3 linked regions of the Neurospora crassa OR74A genome follow. Each later gene encodes a partner of the first gene's protein in a complex. Links are inferred from orthologs where the notes say so. Each region holds a gene or a part of one and is shown on either strand. Other genes may lie near its edges.

Evidence for each region.
Region 2: NCU06469 (region 1) and NCU07549 share a complex: the UniProt entries of both Saccharomyces cerevisiae proteins name them as parts of the mitochondrial large ribosomal subunit. The link is inferred for Neurospora crassa OR74A from reciprocal best matches to the Saccharomyces cerevisiae genes MNP1 and MRPL51.
Region 3: NCU06469 (region 1) and NCU04068 share a complex: the UniProt entries of both Saccharomyces cerevisiae proteins name them as parts of the mitochondrial large ribosomal subunit. The link is inferred for Neurospora crassa OR74A from reciprocal best matches to the Saccharomyces cerevisiae genes MNP1 and MRPL6.

The regions. Positions count from the first base shown.
Region 1 is NC_026503.1:1,524,187-1,530,046, forward strand, and holds NCU06469 (putative mitochondrial 54S ribosomal protein MNP1), read left to right. Parts: upstream 1-1,957; 5' UTR 1,958-2,175; coding exon 2,176-2,376; intron 2,377-2,643; coding exon 2,644-2,973; 3' UTR 2,974-3,507; downstream 3,508-5,860. Other genes in the region: NCU06468 (midasin), read right to left, coding at 1-1,372; NCU06470 (hypothetical protein), read right to left, coding at 3,717-4,505, 4,589-4,765, 4,934-5,089. UniProt on the Saccharomyces cerevisiae protein: Component of the mitochondrial ribosome (mitoribosome), a dedicated translation machinery responsible for the synthesis of mitochondrial genome-encoded proteins, including at least some of the essential transmembrane subunits of the mitochondrial respiratory chain.
Region 2 is NC_026503.1:4,404,926-4,410,923, reverse strand, and holds NCU07549 (mitochondrial 54S ribosomal protein MRPL51), read left to right. Parts: upstream 1-2,933; 5' UTR 2,934-3,114; coding exon 3,115-3,156; intron 3,157-3,240; coding exon 3,241-3,323; intron 3,324-3,625; coding exon 3,626-3,917; 3' UTR 3,918-4,369; downstream 4,370-5,998. Other genes in the region: NCU07548 (hypothetical protein), read right to left, coding at 729-1,480, 1,747-1,852, 1,939-2,066, 2,173-2,434; NCU07550 (triosephosphate isomerase), read right to left, coding at 4,454-4,482, 4,546-5,154, 5,250-5,320, 5,471-5,508. UniProt on the Saccharomyces cerevisiae protein: Component of the mitochondrial ribosome (mitoribosome), a dedicated translation machinery responsible for the synthesis of mitochondrial genome-encoded proteins, including at least some of the essential transmembrane subunits of the mitochondrial respiratory chain.
Region 3 is NC_026506.1:2,633,587-2,639,945, reverse strand, and holds NCU04068 (mitochondrial 54S ribosomal protein YmL16), read right to left. Parts: upstream 4,051-6,359; 5' UTR 3,866-4,050; coding exon 3,580-3,865; intron 3,362-3,579; coding exon 3,248-3,361; intron 3,157-3,247; coding exon 2,789-3,156; 3' UTR 2,638-2,788; coding exon of another isoform or gene 1,351-2,637; 3' UTR 1,244-1,350; downstream 1-1,243. Other genes in the region: NCU04070 (hypothetical protein), read right to left, coding at 61-391; NCU04069 (3'-phosphoadenosine 5'-phosphatase), read left to right, coding at 1,351-2,637; NCU04067 (hypothetical protein), read left to right, coding at 4,960-5,053, 5,112-5,603, 5,662-6,101, 6,159-6,359. UniProt on the Saccharomyces cerevisiae protein: Component of the mitochondrial ribosome (mitoribosome), a dedicated translation machinery responsible for the synthesis of mitochondrial genome-encoded proteins, including at least some of the essential transmembrane subunits of the mitochondrial respiratory chain.

The sequences.
Region 1 (5,860 bases):
GACGCAGACCAATCAAGCTGGGTAGGTTCTCCTTGTCGTTCATGCCGAGCAGCGTCCGGACAGTAGCAAATATGCGGAAGCCTTCGGTGGCCTGTATGGTCTCGCCGCGTCCAGGAATTAGCAGCTCTCCTCGCTCAATGAGAGGCAGCAATGTGCTCATGACTTCTGTTGGCGCGCGATCGAGATCCTCAATCAAGACCCATCTTCCCTCCTTGACGGCAGTGGTCAACACACCTGGGCGCCACGAGAAGGAACCGGGTTTCGAGTCGGTGGTGTATAGCCCAAGCAGCATCTTGGCGTCGGTTTGCTCGTTCAGGTGTAGTGTCACTAGTTGCTTCTGCTTGCCTAACTCGCGCGCAATCTCGTGGACTAGGGAGGTCTTGCCGGAACCGGACAGGCCGTGGAGGAGGATAGGCCCGGGTCGTTGCAGGCACCCGGTGAGGTTCTCGAGGTTCTCAACAGTCGTCGGGGTAAGTGCGAGGGTGGTGGGAGCAGTCACAGGGCCGAGGGGACGCGGGAGGACTGTCTTTCCATATTTGACAACTAGAGGAGTGAGGTTCTGTTCTGGGATGTTTGTGATATTCAATTCGACAACCGCATCGTCAACCGCACTAGTTTGTTGGGATTTACTGCGAGAGCTCTGAATGTCTTCACGTCTAGAATCCTCGTGTAGGCTGAGGAACGCATAGTCGGCTTCGCGCCCGTCGAGCTCTGCGACAAGGCTGGTATCTTTGGGTATGTGCTTTTCGAGGAGGGCTTCGATCTTGACATCGGCGGCATTATGAAGCTGGCAGAAGATTCGGACGGCAAGATATCGGACGATGGGGTTCTCGTGTGCGAACAGGGTCTGTATTTGGGATGGCTTTGACAGGCCGGCGTAGGTGCGCTTGTCAAAGTTGTTGAGCCTCCAGAGGGCTAGGAGGACAATTGGGAGGTCATCTGGGCGGATCGAAGCTAGGTCAAGGGAATCGAGAGGTTTAAGTTTTGAAGAAGCATCATTGTCGTTGCTTTTGTCGTTGTGGTTACCACCATTAACACCACCAAAAGATCCTCCTCGAAGATGCGACACGAGGAAGACGGACAGCGACGGGGCGAAGGGCAAGATCCTTGCGAAAGCGGCAAGGACTCGCGTATCGAGTTTTGGAGAAGACAGAATCCATCTGGCGCAAATATCGGCAAAAACAGACTCGAAATGGGTAAAGATGCGGTCGGTGGCTGTCGAGACAAGAGCGGCGCTGGCGATCGCATCGAGGAATTTGGTCGATTGGTGATCCTGGATTATGAGCAGCAACTCTGGCGGCAAGAGGTCCAAGGTGGTCGCATCGCTAAGGAGCGACGCCCTCTGCTGGCTCACATCGATCACGGCCATCATGGCCAGGGAAAAGCGACGGGACGGGTTGGCGTGGATGTCGTCGTCGTCGTCGTCGTCGTCGTTGTGAAAAACGGTGATGTTTTTCTTAGTCTCTTTTTTTTTTTTATCTCTAACTTTTTTGCCCATTGAACTTCGCTTTCTCCCGTTTGGAACTTTTTCCCACATGAAATTCCTTATCGCGCTGAACGATAGTGCGGGGTACATGCTACTTAGCGCTAGGCGCATGTGCTGGGGTGTACTGCATAGTACTCTACATAGTGTAGTGTAAGTCGGCTGCGGCAGGCAAGGGAGCCATCTTCTTCAAAAGTGGAACCTAGTTCCGGGTGGGACGAACAGCCCAGCGGCAGCAGGGGCGCGCTTGGGATGACAGGGGCCCATCCTTTAGCGCGTCTTCAGTGGACTTCAAGGTACAGAGGTACCTAATCCCCAGACTCGCGCGGGGCAGGCAGCTTGGGTTTTCCCCTCCAGCTGCAGCTCCGGGTCAGCCAGCCGTCATAGATCCAACTTGCACGCCCAAACCACCAAGCTGCCAACTGCCAGTAGTGGGTCCCAGATTTCGCAGCACCCGGGAGCGCGCGACAACGTCCCCAAAAAAATATCTCCGTTTAGTTGTTGTACGGTTCGGTTGTACGATCCTCGAAGTCGACGTCGACGGCAAGCCTCCCTCACCAAAAAAAGAGAACCCCAATCCGACCGCCCCCGCGCGCCCTCTCTCTTTCCTTCCTCCGGTCCGAGTCCGACTCCCCTCTCTCCATCCATCCATCCACACAACCCACCACCACCAACACACACACATACCAACAATGTCTCTCTCGGTTCGCTTCGCCGCGCAATGCGCCGCCCGCCAGCTCCGCGCATCCACCCGGGCCTCGAGCTCCCTCCTCGTCCAGAAGCGCTTCGAGTCCACCGCCGCCCCTGCCGCCAACCCCAAGATCGCCGCCATTGTTGACCAGATCAGCACCCTGACTCTCCTCGAGACCTCGGAGCTTGTGTCCAGCCTCAAGGTACGCCCGATTTAAATAAAGCACGAGAAGAAGAACAACCGGGGCCGGGAACCGGGACACACAAAACCCGAATCGGAGCATGTTTCAAGGTTTCCGGATGTTTTTGCGCCCCGGACCCGACCCGACCCGACCCGGCCCGGCCCCGGACAGACAGACAGACAGACAGACCTATCTTATACTACCTAGACTCTCAAGTCGCACACATGTACATGGGCACCAACACTAACACTCACTCTCTCTCTCTCTCTCTTCTTTTACACAAAACAGTCCCGCCTCAACATCCCCGATCTCCCCGTCGGTGGTTTCGCCGCTGCCGCCCCCGCCGCTGCCCCCGCCGCCGCTCCCGCTGAGGAGGAGGAGGCCGCCCCTGCCGCTGCCGAGAAGACGCTGTTCACGCTCAAGCTCGAGAAGTTCGACGCCGCCGCCAAGCCCAAGGTCATCAAGGAGGTCAAGAACCTGCTCGGCCTCTCCCTAGTAGAGTCCAAGAAGTTCGTCGAGAGCGCGCCCAAGGTCATGAAGGAGTCGGTACCAAAGGAGGATGCCGAGAAGATTGTCGCCGCCATGAAGGAGCTCGGCGCCACCGTCACCATGGACTAAACTGCTGCTTCTGCCTAGTAAAAGGGTTGGTTGCTATGGTTATGGTCTCTGTGTGGTGGTGTGGTGGGTGGAGGCGCCGTGTGTGTGTGTGTGTATGTGTGTTGTTGTTTTGTAGGATGGTCACGTCCCTCCCCCGCAGAAAAAGAACCAAACGAGGAGATCTTTTCCTGACACAGATGCCGGAAAGATATTTTCTTTTTTTTTTCCTATAATGATGATCATGACGGGACAGAGTTGGAAGAAATGCCAGGGCCTTGGGAAACACATAAAGGGGGATTCTCGGTCTCATCTACATTATATCCTCATGGGGAAAGGGGGGGAGTGGCGGACACAGATTCCTCACAACAACATATACCACTTGTACGTGTACAAAAAGCAATGAAACATGTAACATTATATCATACTACGAGAACTGGGATGGATAGAAGAACGGGTTGTCAGCGAAAACATGAGAGTCTGTCGACGATATTACCGTGAGCAGATGCCGCTTCTGAGTTAATAGTATCTCCCCACTTTCGCTTATGGATACCGAAGATAACTAAACAGCCAAAAACATAAACGCCATCCCATGCATACCCCATGTATCGGTAACTTCCTTGTTTCTTATTCTCAACCTCCTTCTCCTTGCCTCCTTCAATTTTCTTCTTTCTATCGCACTCCTACCAGCGCGCCTCTTGTATCCACCACCCGTGTCATTCCTACTGGTCTTGAATTCCCAGGTTCTCTTCTCCTCCGTCGGTTTCCTAACCCGAAGTCATCTCCACATCTTTATCTTGCTTCTCCTGTTGCTCCTTTTCCAGCTGCTGCAGCTGCTTCCTCCTCGCCATCTCGGCAATCTCCCCACTAATCGACATTGGCTTTTCCTTCATGTTATTCCCATTCATACCATCATCCCTCTCACCCCCGTTACTGGTAGAGGTAGTATGCCCACACCCCGCACCACCACTCCCTCCAATCCCTCCAATCCCCGCCTGCAAACTCCTCTCCCACTCCTCCTGCTCTTCCCATATCGCCCTCATGTCGTCATCCCCCAACTCTGACGTCTCCTCCAGCAATCTATCCAGCTCGTCTCCGCTCGGCACCGCCCAGATGTTCTCCCTCAGCCTCTTATGCCGCTCACGATCCTCCTCGATACGTTGCTCAACTTGTTTCTTGTCGAGACGAGGGGCGGCAGTGTTGACGCCTCCGCCGCGTTTGCTCAAATTGCTATGCTGTTGGTTGCTAGAGGAAGGTCCGCCGGCGGCATTGGTGGCGTTGGTGCTGGTGGGGAGGGTACCTGCTGCTGCTGTGGAAGAAGATGGAGGAAAAGGAGGAGGGTAGGAGGAAGAGTGGATGGCGGTTTGCGAGGGGGGCATGTTGGTATCGTATCCCGATGCTGCTGCTGAAAGGTTGTTGTTGTTGTTGGCAGAAGGGGAGAGGACGAGGTCCCCTTGGGAGGAAACGTAGGATTCGCCGCGTTCGCGGAGGACTTCAAAGATGTCGGTTAGGATGGTGGCGTCGAGAAAGGATTTGGCGTGGAGGGCTTGGAGGACCTGTTGTATGTTTGTGTTGTTTTTAGCATTGGCTGAGGATTAGGGGGGGGATAAAGACGGGTGAGAAAGGCAAAAACACAAACCTTGCGGACAACCTTGACGTTAGCCGCCCCTGACCCGTCATCTGGCGCCACGGCATCGACCACACGAATAATGTCCCGCTGCATCATGCGGATGTAATCCTCTTGTCCGTCTTTGTAGGCCATGTCGAGAAAGTGCTCGATGAAGTACATGATGTTGGCTCGCATGTTGAGATTGCTCTGGGAACCTTTGTTAGTGAATGTCTTGATTGAGCCAACGAGCCGCGGGGGTAGGGGGAGGGATGAGCCGATGAGGGTGAGGCTGGATGGTTTGACACCAGCTCAACTCGTCTTCTTCCCAAAATGATTGATTGACTGAGCAAACATGAAGATAAAAGATAAACACACCCTTTCAAGTTGCTCCAGAATGCAAGAGTGCAAATCTTCAGCTAGATCCTTGTGTCGGAGAGCATACTGTGCTGCCTTTTGCGAGGATGTCACGGAGGCACTTAGTTGGCGGAGCTGGTTTGTGAAGCGCATGCGCACCTCGAAAGGGTCGGCCATTTTTGCTTTTTTTGGTGATGTATGTTGTTTTGCGTCTAGATGCTGGTAGTTGTTGAAGATGTTTCAGTTGTGTAAGTGATGTAGTTGGGGTGGGAAAAGAAGGGACCCTGGTGTGACTGAAACTGCTATGGGTTGTTGTTCGGGTGTAAGTGAATGAATGGATGTAGTTGAGTTACTCCAATTGTTCACCTTGCCCGATGTTTATATACTTTAATTATCTGCTGTCGTGCTTCAATGCGCTTGCATAACTGGCTCATCTGCACCTGCTTTTAATTTTCAAAATTTGCTCAGTTCTGCAACTGACGCCAACTTGAACTTGAGATGTCGAGTGAACACGGAAATCATGAATATGACAGGCACGAAAGCATTTCAAGGTTGTCGTCGCCAACAACACGAGCATTCAAAAAGAAGAAAGGACGTTGAACTTGGGTAACCACACTAACCCGCATATAGCAGGCGGTGAGCATGTTAACGAGGCGCTAGTTCTCTTAGTACTGTGTGGTAGCGATACCGGGGTCCTAGTGGGGTCTGTTTACAGCGGCAAACTCTCCACTGACCGATAAAGTGATATCACAACTCAGGATCGATGAATAAGTTCCCGTTTTGGGCCTCATCGAGATCGTCTTCACACTTCACTGATCGACCTCTTTTTCTTATCTCTCCGACAGGAACCAACTCGTTTATTTATTCTCTTCCAATTTTGGACGACCCGAGTAAACAACAACTGTCGAACCTTTCCACTTTCAACTCAATTTCTTAAAACCACCACCA
Region 2 (5,998 bases), about 2.9 Mb from region 1:
GATTCAACAGTACACGGGCTAAACAAAAAAAACTTGATATGATACAAGTGAAGAAGGAAAAAAAAGAGAGAAAAAGGCGAGAAGACATGGAATCGAAAGCGCGGAAAGCAACTGGCTTTCGTTCTTTTTACCTCGATTTTAGCTTCCTGCAACGGATGCTGATTGATGTCTTGTTACTCCCGAAAAGACAATGGCGGAACGCTTTTGAGTGTACTGTCCTAAGTTGCCAAGGTTGTATGCGACGGGTGCCACACCACCGTGCATGCGTTGACGAAATCTCTCACCAGTGCCACCTGGAGTTCTAGACCTCCAGTTGTCTTTGGACTGATGTGACTGACAGACCGATGGAACGGAAGGCCGGACGGATTGCCATTCGGACTTGGGCTGATGAGCATGCAAACCATTGCTCTTTGGATCCTTATGACGCGGTTACCTTAGCCACCGGAAAAGATAATCACATCCGCTTTGGACGTCCAAGTGTCTCGAACATGGATACCTCCCACTATTCTTCTGGTCGTGGATAGTTGACACGGTCCATAGTCAAGTATGACACGTGAGAAGTGATCATCGTGGCTTACCCTTATCGTCGAAGGAAAAGGGAAGAATAATACTGAGTGGAAACTTGAGAGCAGTGAGAGGGGGCTGATGATACCCACCACGAGACAAACCGGACCAGTATGTTGTTGTTGCTTAGGAGGTCTGTCAATGCTGTTTCGCAGCCATCATGTCTAGTAGCGCCGCAACTTCCTGGGGTCTTCGTATCCGCCGTCGTATCCGCGTTTCCTGGATGAGTCGTCGTGATCTCTGGGCCTGTCGTAGTCGCGGCCACCGTGATACCCACCGTCTCTGGATTCCCTTGGGGCTCCGGGTTCTCTAGGCCTGATGGGCTCCATGTTGCTGCCAGTCTGCCGAGCGTTGCGTTCGCCGCCGCGGAAACCTCCGCCGCCAGATCTGTCATCATATGAGCGACCGCCATCACGCCCACCGTACCCACCGCTGCTTCCGCTAGGACCGTCCCTGCGGCTGTCGCGATCGCGGTCCCTGTCACGATGACTGTCACGGTCACGGCCGCCGAAGCCACCACCGGGACCATTGGGAGCATTAGACGGAGGCGAGAAACTGCTGCCACCTGGGCCGCCGAAGCCACGGCCGCCGTCACGTCCGCCACCAAAACCGCCGCCACCGCTACGTCCACCGAAGCGATCACCACCTCCAAAGCCGCCGCCGGGGCCGCCACCACCCCTGAAGCCGCGGTCGCGTCCTCTAAATCCGCCACCAAAACCACCACCGCGGAAGCCACCGGGACCGCCAAATCCACCGGGACCCATGGGCCTAGCGGGCATTGCCTTGGTGTAACCACGACCACCAAGGCCGCCACCGAGACGACGAGGTTTCCATCCCTTAACCGTGCGGCCTCTCTCTACATCGACCTTGATGCGGCGATCCTTAATACGGGCGCCATCACAGCCATCTAGAGCAGCTGGATTGCGCATGCGCCACAGGCGCAGGTGTCAGTAAGGCCTTACCATGAAGAAACAATACTACCTTTAAGGTATACGACGTGGAAGATGAATGGATAGAGGGAAGACGAAAAAGTTTCCGCAGGACAGGCAAGCTTGAGGGCCATTCGAGTCCTGGTTGTGGGCTTACAGAAAAGCACCGACAGCGGGCGTTTCCTTGTCTGTGTGTGCTGGTTGAATGTCAAGAAGAGGGGGGGGGGGGGGGTCAAGGGGGGCTGGTCATTACCTCTCATGTCCTTTTCGCGTTCGAAAACGACAAAAGCATAGCCACGATGGGGCTTTTTCTTCTTGTTTGGGTTCTCATCGGCGTGGGTATCTCTGATGATACGGATCTGTTTTTTGGTGTCAGTTCTTGTCAATTAACACACACATAGCTGTGAAATCATGATATAGGAGGAGGGGGGGTTTGCAAACTCACACGCTCGATAGGACCGTAGCGGCTAAACTCGCGCTCGAGATCCTGTTCATCAGCACGGTAGTCAAGACGCGCTACTATCAACGTCTTGAAAGCATCTCCTCTGATGTTGGGATCGTCATTAGGGTTGTCTACAGATAAACGCCATCGGTTAGCAAGCCGCACGACAGCAAGATCATGATCAAGTAAAGGAGTAGCGAGCACAACTGCGCGTAACGTTGGGGGTTTGCCGCGTACAATTCTTGGGACCCTCGGTCAACAGCTTCTCCAAAGCTTCCTTCTTCTCGCGCTTCTTGCGGTCGCGCGCCTCCAGCCAGCTCTCGGTGGGATGGTACTCGTATTCTTGCTCGTAGGCCTGCATGGCAGGAAGGAAGTCGGCAACGGGGGTGATGAAGGCCGACTTGCGCTCTTCGGGAGCAACATCGCAGGGCGGCACCCAGCGCAGAGGTGGCCGGGGCGCAAAGAGTGCGAGGAGGTTAGGCGGGAGCCGGTCTGTCATTGTCGCTTCACGTTGTCGCTGTTGTAGCTGGTCAAGTGGTGTTTTTTTGTTGATCTTATCTGTCGTCGAATTATGAAATCGATATGTCGGAAACCAGGAAATGTAGGTCGTCTGGCGTTTGATCCACTGTTCGGAAAGCCGGGCGAGAACAGTTCAATAAGGCTGAACGCTGTTACTGTTTGCCAATTCTTGTGATGGCGATAATGTGGTGTTGTCGGTTTGCGAGAAAGGTCAAACCCGCATTTTCGCGACTTTGCTTGGACAGCTGAAGACGAGAGACAGAGGGTGGGAGGCGGGAGCAGCAAAGGGCCCTGTCTGGTGTTGTGTCGTCCACTGCCTGGCAGCCTCGCAGCGACTGGAGCTCTTGCTGGGCAGCTTTCTCGCGCGCTCGACCACCGAACGACTGAGTGCGAAAGAGGGACCGTGCACCCTTAGGTCGTCTTCGTTATCACTACGCACACACCCAAGGAGGAGTGCAATCGCGTGAAATTGATTCTGCCAACCGCTTTTGCAGTTGGGCGGGTCCCCCACCCCCAGTGCCGTGCCGGCGCGCGACGGGGCGGGAGTCTGGCAGAAGTTCAAGTCGCACCCGCCCTCCGGATCATGAACCCTGGTGGACTCGGACTTGTTGCAAGGCGAGGACGGCGGCGAAGAAGAAGAAGAAGAAGAGCATCACAACAATGACGGTAAAAGCATTGACGCAGATCTCCTCTGCCGGCCGTGTAAGTTAGACCGCAGCCTGAGCAACTAAAAACTTTAATTTTCAGAAAAAAAAGAATGCTAATCGTTGATTGTTTTGTATCTAGAATGGCGTCGGCGCATTCGTCTTGCAGTGCAAGAAGTTGGACATCCACTACAGTGACTGGGCCGGCAGCTCCCGGGGCATGAAGTACGTTTAGGATTCTTCGAATATGGACATCGCAACCTCATTCCCGATCGAACATCTTTCACATATACCAATACCTCTACACGTCCAACCAAACCGACATCCTCCCAAGATCTCGAGACCATCCCGCCGTCCCCGACCATCCATCCATCCATCCATCCACCACTACATACCCTTTTTCTCGTCCCTCCTCGTCCCTCCTCGTCCCTCCTCGTCCCTCCTCGTCCCTCCTTATCCCTCCAGTCTCCCTTCGCGACCTCAGCAGACAGACTCTTTCACTAACACTTACTTCTTCCTCCATCTAGCGGCTTCATCAAATCCCTCCTCCCCAAATTCGCCGCCGCCAACCCGCAAATCGAGTTCGTCGTCTCTCCCCGGCCCGCCAAGCACCCGATCCTCATGGGCCACTACATCAACGGGCGCACCAAGGCCATTTGCGTGCGCAACATGGAGCCGCTCGAGATCCTCAAGAAGGCCGAGCTCCTCCGCGACGCGAGCGGCGAGAAGCCCCAGAAGTTCAAGAAGCCCGTCACCAGCACGAACCCCAGTGTCAGAGGTGTCTGGTCGCCTTACCATGGGCAGGGTATGGCTGTATAAAGCGGAAAAAGGGGGAGGAGCAGGTGCTGGTGCTGGTGCTGGAATGGACTGGATCGGTGCTGGGCTGGATTTGGTGCTCGGCCGGTGTTGGCTCGGTTCAGTACCAGGTGGATTGTATATACCATGTTGAATGTATGAATATGAATTGAGGACATGAAAAGGGTTTCTGGATGTATCAAGGGTTTCGGTTTGGCTATATGGTTGTGATCAAGTCCTTCCAGAGCTATCGAGTTCCCATGATGAGTTGCCCCAGTTCCAAAGAATCTGACATTATCTTCTGGTGCTTGGTGGTTGACTGTTGATATTGGAACTTGGGATGAACATCTAAGAGCGAATGGAGGAGCCGCGGAGTTGCGGTATCTGGTGTCACAGAAGTCATGAACGGGCTACATGAAGCGAAACTACGTTCTTCAATCCCAAATCGAACAAAATCAGGACATTTAACTATTTTATATTTTCGCCGTGTCCTCAACACCATTTCCCAGCCTATATGATTGCGGCTGTAGCAAAGCTATAACTTTTTATGGGCAAGTAATTTACAGGTTGGCGTTGATGATGTCCACGACTGCATCATATCATGTTAGCCATCTTTCTTCCTCTCGTTGCAACAATGGCAGGTAGTACTTACACTCGGGCTTCAAGCTGGCACCGCCAACAAGGAAACCGTCAATGTCCTGCTCCTTGGCAAGGTCCTTGCAGTTCTTGGCGTTGACAGAGCCACCGTAGAGGATGCGGGTCTCCTCAGCAACCTTGTCGCTGACGTTCTGCTTGAGCCAGCTGCGGATGGCGGCGTGCACCTCCTGGGCCTGCTCCTTGGTGGCGACGAGGCCGGTGCCAATGGCCCAGATGGGCTCGTACGCGATAACGACGTTCTTCCAGTCGTTGATCTCCTTGGCGAGAGCGGCGAGCTGGTTCTCGACGAACTTGATGGTCTCGCCGGCCTGGCGCGTGTCCTTGGACTCGCCGCAGCACCAGATGACCGAGATGCCGTTGTCGAGGGCGTACTTGGTCTTGGAGGCAATGAACTCGTCCGACTCGCCGAGCTCGTTGCGGCGCTCAGAGTGGCCGAGAATGACCCACTTGACGCCGAGATCCAGGAGCTGCGTGGCGCTGATCTCGCCGGTGAAGGCGCCGTTGGGCTTGTTGAAGACGTTCTGAGCGGCAACCTCAACGTTGGGCTTCTGGAGGTTCTGCTTGACGAAGTCAAGGTAGAGAGCGGGAGGGGCGATCACGACCTCTGTTTATGTTCTGATCAGCATTTGAGCAGTGTACTGCTAATTCCACCCTGTCTTTTTTTTTTTTTTTTTTTTTGTCCTGGCGTTGCAGACATACCGGCGTTAGGGTCCAATTGGGCGTTGTTAAGGTTGTCAACGATGGCCTTGAGATCCTTACGGGTCCCGTTCCTGGAAATAGGGGTTTGTTTAGTTAGCTGGCCGAGTCATTACCGCGGGGTTTTCGTTGACATATGACGGGGTGCTATGATGATGATGGTAATGGCGGGGTAAAAGTGTTGGGGAAAGCTCCCCTCAGCTCTCGGATGAGAATTAACGCACATCTTGAAGTTGCCGCCGACGAAGAACTTGCGAGCCATTTTGGGCGATTTGTTGGTTTGGTAGTACTAAAAAAGGGGGTATCTAGGGGGTTGCTGGAAGCAGAAGCAGATGGCAAAGTTGTGATGATGATGTTGTTGTTGTTGGAGTGGAAGTTGGAAACAGAGCTCGAGATGGGACAGGACGAAGTGGGGATAGGGTACCTCTATGTAGTGTACCGCTGGAGGAGGGGTGGTCGGGACTCAGAAGACTAGCTACTACACTAGGGCGGAGGCATCAGACGTAAAAGTGGATTATCATCTGCAGACCTACCTAGAGGCAGTTCGGGGGCGCCAGACGGAGTGAGCCTGTCACACATTGCGATTCCCGACCCGGAGCTGGCTGTTGTCCCTCGAGGTTTTCGTGTGTGAATGGTTGCTTGGCGGGTGGGATCCAGTTGCGAGAAGGTCCGATTGTCAATGGTGGTTCCAAGCTGCAAGTCCTCCTCTACACTACATCATATGACACCACTTCTCAGCATATCTCATAATG
Region 3 (6,359 bases), on another chromosome or scaffold:
TAGATGTCAGTCAGTTGTTGACAATGGCACTGACCGTCAGACAGCTTTGATTGGACTTACCAAGGCAAGCACTCCCGCAGATGTAGTTATTCCATTGAGGATTTGTACAAGCTCCTCGCTGCACCGCGCCCAGAGTCAAGTTGGGAAACGAGTTGCTTTCTGTCGTCGTAATGCAAAGCGCATTGCTGAAACATGTCCACCCTGCCGGACAACAAGAAGAAACTGGAGCGTTGAAGGCCTGGCAAGCAAAGTAGCCTGGTGCGAACTCGCCACCAGGAAAGTAACACGGCGCATTTGGGTCGGCTCGTACTTGTCGCGCTTCTGTCGCTAGGTACACAAGTATCGCGAAGAGGGAAGATGTAGTAGGAATCATTTTTGCGGGTTCGCGCATCGCTCTCTCTGGTCATCAGCAACCAGAACTTGTAGGAAACAACAACAACAAAAAAAAATGGACAATGAGGAGATTGACAGAGTTATCAGGAAAATACAAACTTGATAGAAGTAAAAACACACCCGTGGGCGCCACGACGGCCCGTCCATACTTATCAAGTGACCAGCAACACCATGAGGCTGGCAATTAGGTTATACCAGGGCCTGTTCAGCTCGACCTCCGCATCGATGTGACCCGTGATGGTGTCTCCAGAAGCGCTTTGAGTTGCTGAATGGGAGTTGATCCAAGCAAGCCACTTGGCTTGGCACGCTGCGGCATGGATGCTGCAGCTTTTCGGAGCTCAGTTGGTTCGTTGAATGTAAAGGGTTGGACTTTCGGTCCGGTTCCCTTTTCGTTGATAACAGGGTGCAGAATTTACTGTTGCTGCGCAGTTCGCTTCGAGGTCATCGGGACCGTCTGAGTGTCGTCGGCGGAAGTGAAGATAGAAATCCCACAAAATGTGATGAATATTGGAGTCGAAAGAGAAGCTCTCTCCGAGTTCGGGGCTAGCTACCTAGCTTATCCGTGGGTGCTCATGTTTAACATGGAAAGGACCCTGAACCGAGCCGTGTCATCATTGCTGTTTTGACGGGCATTCTCTCAAGAGTGGAGTGCCAAATCGAAAAAGAAACATCAAGAAATAGGTAAAGCATTTCATCAAAGTAAACAAAGATTTTGAGACTCTCATGTCTGCATTTGTGGAGATAGCGAGCGGTTGGTGGCATTGCGGGGAACCAATTGAAGTGGGAAAAAAGACAAAAAGGGCAGTCATACGTCAACAGCTTCGCCGCTACAGAATCAGTGCGGGGAACATTTGACAGCCAGAATCCCAAGTTCAACCACTCAACAACTTGGACTGAATACGTATTCCGGTTACGGATTGAAAATTCCCCGAGGTTTATCGATCCTCTCGCGGCTGTATGACTGTGGATAAGATCAAACAGCAGAAAAAGGCATCGTCCCATACTTTCTACTCCAAAATTCTCTTCGTTTTCTCCCTCATCGTCCTCATCCTGGCTATCTTCAGTTCCCGCATCTCCTTTCCCCGGCTTTCCCTCATTGCGAGCCATTTGACTGGCAGTGCCAACACAATCACAGCAACCAGCCGCTCAACCATTACAACTACATCTACACAGAAGATGGCCTCTTCCCAGTACGCAAAGGAGCTCGAGGTAGCTCAGCTCGCCGTCCAGCGGGCCGCCCGCCTCACCAAGCGCGTCTTCCACGAGAAGGCCAAGGGCACCGTTTCCAAGGACGACAAGTCCCCTGTGACCATTGGCGACTTTGGCGCTCAGGCGCTCATCATCAGCGCCCTCAAGGCCAACTTTCCTTCGGACGAGATTGTGGCTGAGGAGGAGGCCGCTCAGCTGCGCGAGGACACCCCCCTGCGGGACCAGATCTGGGAGCTCGTCAAGTCCACCAAGCTTGACGATGAGGCTGCCGAGCAACTCCTTGGCGGCGCCATCAAGGATGCCGACGCGATGCTGGAGATCATCGACCAGGGCAACAGCAAGGGCGGCGCCAAGGGCAGGATATGGACTATCGACCCCATCGACGGCACCAAGGGCTTCCTGCGCGGTGGACAGTATGCCGTGTGCTTGGGACTGATGGTGGACGGTGACGTCAAGGTCGGTGTTCTCGGTTGCCCGAACCTGCCTGTGGACGACGCTGCGCCGTTGGCTGCGGATATCGGCACCAATGCGACCGATGAGGGCCGGGGTGTCATCTTCTCGGCCGTTCAGGGCCAAGGCGCGACTAGCAGACCCCTGGGCACCGCCGGTCTTGCGGAGGGCAAGTCCATTGCGATGAAGCCTATTACAGAGATGTCCAACGCCAGCTTCTGCGAGAGCGTGGAGGCGGGTCACTCGGATCAGGGCGTGGCTGGACAGATTGCGCAGAAGCTCGGGATCACCAAGCCTAGTGTGCGCATGGATTCCCAGGCCAAGTACGGCTCTATTGCTCGCGGCGCGGGTGATATCTACCTCCGTCTGCCTACTTCCAAGTCTTACCAGGAGAAGATCTGGGATCACGCTGCTGGAGATCTGATTGTGCGTGAGGCTGGTGGTCAGGTTACCGACGTGAGTGGAAACCGCCTGGATTTCAGCGTCGGCCGCACGTTGGCTGAAAACAAGGGTGTCATTGCGGCGCCTGCTGCGGTCCACGACCAGGTCATCAAGGTCGTTCAGGAAGTTCTCGGGCAGCAGTAAAGCCTCGGTGTCATAGTGTACAGGTTATGGCAGGTATCGGGCCGTTATGAGGCCATGTGTGTGCCAAAAAAAATAATAGACTAAATGTACAATATTCCCCCCTTATCCTCATCAACAACCATATCAGCCACCAAAACCCACCGCGCGTCCTCTATTTGATCTTCTTCTGCTTCAACTTGATGGTCTCGCCGTTGACAAAGATACCCTTACCCTTGTAGGGTTCCGGTACACGCCACCTCCTGATATCAGCGGCGAAGGTCATGACCTGCTCTCTGTTGATGCCCTCAAGCAGGATTCTTGTCGGCTGCGGCGTGCTGGCCTTCATGCCCTTGGGAACGCCCATCTCGACGGGGTGGGAGAAACCGAGCTTGAGGCAGACGAACTGCTGGCCGGGGTATTCCTCCTTCTCGGGGCGGGTGTCGATTGTAGCTCTGTAACCGATACCGACCAAACGCAACACGGCCGTGTGACCTTCTGATACACCCATAATGAAGCGGTTGAGGTACGCCCATGTTGTTCCTGTTTTGTCCAAGAAAGATTCGAAATCGTCAGCTGACTGGCCGCCCGTAACTTTCCACATTCTCCAAGACAAGGAAGGTGTTTGCCATACCCCACATCTCTCTCTGCTCCTTCTCGTCCCGGTTCGCTACGCTGAGGGTCGCTCTCCTTGCCTCGGCGTCGTGGTCGATCTTGATGAAGTCGGGAATGTCCATCTCGAGTTGTCCTGTGAAAAAGCACACGCACACGTGCAACAAGTCAGCCAGCTGCTCTGCTCCCATCCTAGTCCCCTTTGCACTCTCGCGCAAACACCCATAAACAACGTTCTCTCTCGGGCCTCTCCCAGCCCATCTGTTGCGCCCGCTCCAGTTTCGTTGCGTATCCTCAAATAAAACACCCATCTGGTCCTTTTGCCAAGTCGATTTTACAATAGAACAAACTAACCCAACGGGCCCTGCACCGTAATCTTGCGCTTAGGCTGCTGCTTCCACTGCGTCATGTCGCGCTTGACGAAGGGCTCGCCAATGGTGATCTCGACGCCAGGAGGGATACTGAGCGGGGTGCGGCCGAGCTTGGACGGGCGGGTTGTCGTCGCGGAAAAGTTGCGCCGGGCGGCGGCACCGGCAGTCTGTTGGAAGGCGGGCACCAGGAAGCCGGGGAGTGTGACGACGGGAGAAGATGAGGAAGAGGCAACGGCCTCAAGGACCCTCCTTCGGCTTGGGGCGAACATCGTGGTGAGTGTCGTCGTCGTCGGCAGGGTGGTGGCCGTCGTCACGATGCGGAACCGGAATTGGCGAAGAGACGCGGCGCTCCAGTTCGGAGGTTCTGGCAGTCGCAAGGGCAGCACCGAGTCAATGGCAAGCCGGCCGGGTGGTGGGATGAACCGAGTGGATCTTCGGAGAGCTCCAAAAAATGTATCGGACCTGACGCGGCACAGCAATGCAGCTAGTGATTGGCTGTAAATACAACAGGGTTAGGGTCGTATCCGCATAGTCTCGCTGCTGCTATTCGCTTGGGCTAAGAAACAACGACGAACACCAACAGATGTTATTCCATCCGACATCATTCATCTCGAGTAAGAAATCTTCAAAAAGAAAATGGCACAGGGCGTGGAAGTGTAGAGTTTACTCGATGGAACATATTGTTTCACAATATTCAGATTGAATGTTGAATTAATCTCCCGTTCGACAATCGTCCAGCTTTCCGATGACGACTTTACGGATGCCAACCTCACGATAGTCATCACCACCCAGAACACCCGTCACGGTCGAAGTCTTCCAAACTGTCTCAAGCGAGCTGTTTGCACTTTCTCGATACCGGATGAAAAGATGCAGATTCCAGTGATGTCAAGACAAGTGGTCTACAGCCCAAATCTTTGTCTAGGCTCGCTTCTGTTGGAGAGGACAGCGTCACATCAGACGATTAAGAACCAGCAAAAGTCGAGCTCGGCAGACAATCACAGTCATATTCGATGCGAACTTCAAGTGAAGTCATTTCACACGAAACCTTTTCGCGGTTTCACAATCCTGTGATTCTTGTCCCGCTAAATTCAAGTCCGCTTCTCTTATCCTGGGCAGTCGCGATCGCCAACTTACCCTCATACACCTTCCTTCCTTCCCTCTCTTGAATCGCTCCTTCTCTTCAAAAACACCACAGAATTTTCAGTTGCATGGCCACAAACTTCGATCGCCAAAATTGCACTACCAATATTGCCAGAATCTCCATTTCTTACTGCCGAAGTCCCTTCGACGGCACTCTTCTGGACGCATCTGACTTTATCAGTATATCATCATCAGCCTGTCGCATTGCACTTACATGACAACTATGGCCAGGAAGCTTCTCTTCACGGCTCTCTGTGCCGTTACAGCTACACCTTCTCTGGCCTTTTCGTGGGGAGGTGAAAGAAAAGTGGCAGTTCGTAAGTAATATCAGAGCACTGCCTGCAGGGCTTGACTAATAATATGACCGCAACACAGCCGACCATCAAGTCAACATCGACCGCAACATCCAGCCTTCGGATCTGCTTCGAGCGTCCTCACGCCTACCAAATATCTACGCCGTCGCCCTAAGTGAACTTCAAGAACTCGAATCAGAACCGTTTTGCCATCGTGTGGCCGCCCGACTCCTAGTCAACAACTGCCAGCTGGTAGACGGAAAGAACGACGCCACAATCCTCACAGACACTGGTCGGCAAGTTCGCGACTTTGTTGATTCCTACGCTGCCAGTCTAGCGATATGTGATTTGGAGCGAGGCAGGTTCAATATCCCGGCGCAATGTGCCAAGTTCCGTGAACCGGCCCTGAGTCAGATTGCGATCCGGGACCAAGCACAACTCCACGTCAGCAGTCATGAAATCGATCACTGCCTGTCAGCCATGAAGTCGTCAGATGCTGCGTGGAATACGTGGATTAGTTATCGGCACAAGGCCTTGCGGTTCTGTGAGGCGGCCAGAGCGGATAATGAGAAAGGTATGGTATCTAGGTTGAGACGCACCGTTTCAGAGTCGTAGCTGACAGTGATTTACAGCACAAAACATTCTCCTCTATCAACGACTCACGAATGTGATGAAGAACCTTACAGAAGGCGTGGAAGCTCAGCTTCAGAAGCAAATGAATCGACTTGACCTGCGGACACAACAGTCCATGAAAAATCTCGACAACCTCACACCACAGATCGATAAACTGAGAGATGGGCTTGCCATGGTTCATGAATACTTGGCGACCGATGTTGAAGCAACACTCCGAAGGTCCTTTGCCTCCCTACACGACAGCCAACAACAAGCCGAAGACCTGCAGAAACTGCTCAACCTACTGCTTACTGGTGTTCTTGAGGGTCACTCACGAGTGGCCCATGCGCACGAACATGCCCTTCAACAAGTCTCCGTCCGAGCCAACGATGGCATTGGAGCCCTAGTTGCGGTGGTTGCCACAGCCGCAGCATCAACCACCGCCCTACAACAACAAATTGTAGGCCATCTTCCTGACAGTGACCGTCACTTACATCGTGTGACTAACCCTGGATAGGAACTCTCCAACCAACAAGCCGCCGCATTAGCCCTCCGTCAAGACAACCTCGAGCAAGGAATGGACCGCCTCCTCGCCGTCACCGAGACCCTAGCCACCAAATACGAGGACCAAACGCAAAGACTCCAACAAGCCTCCAACATCACCAACGATATCCTCGACATACTGGAGAACACCGCGGAAGCGGCATCGTCTGTGAAC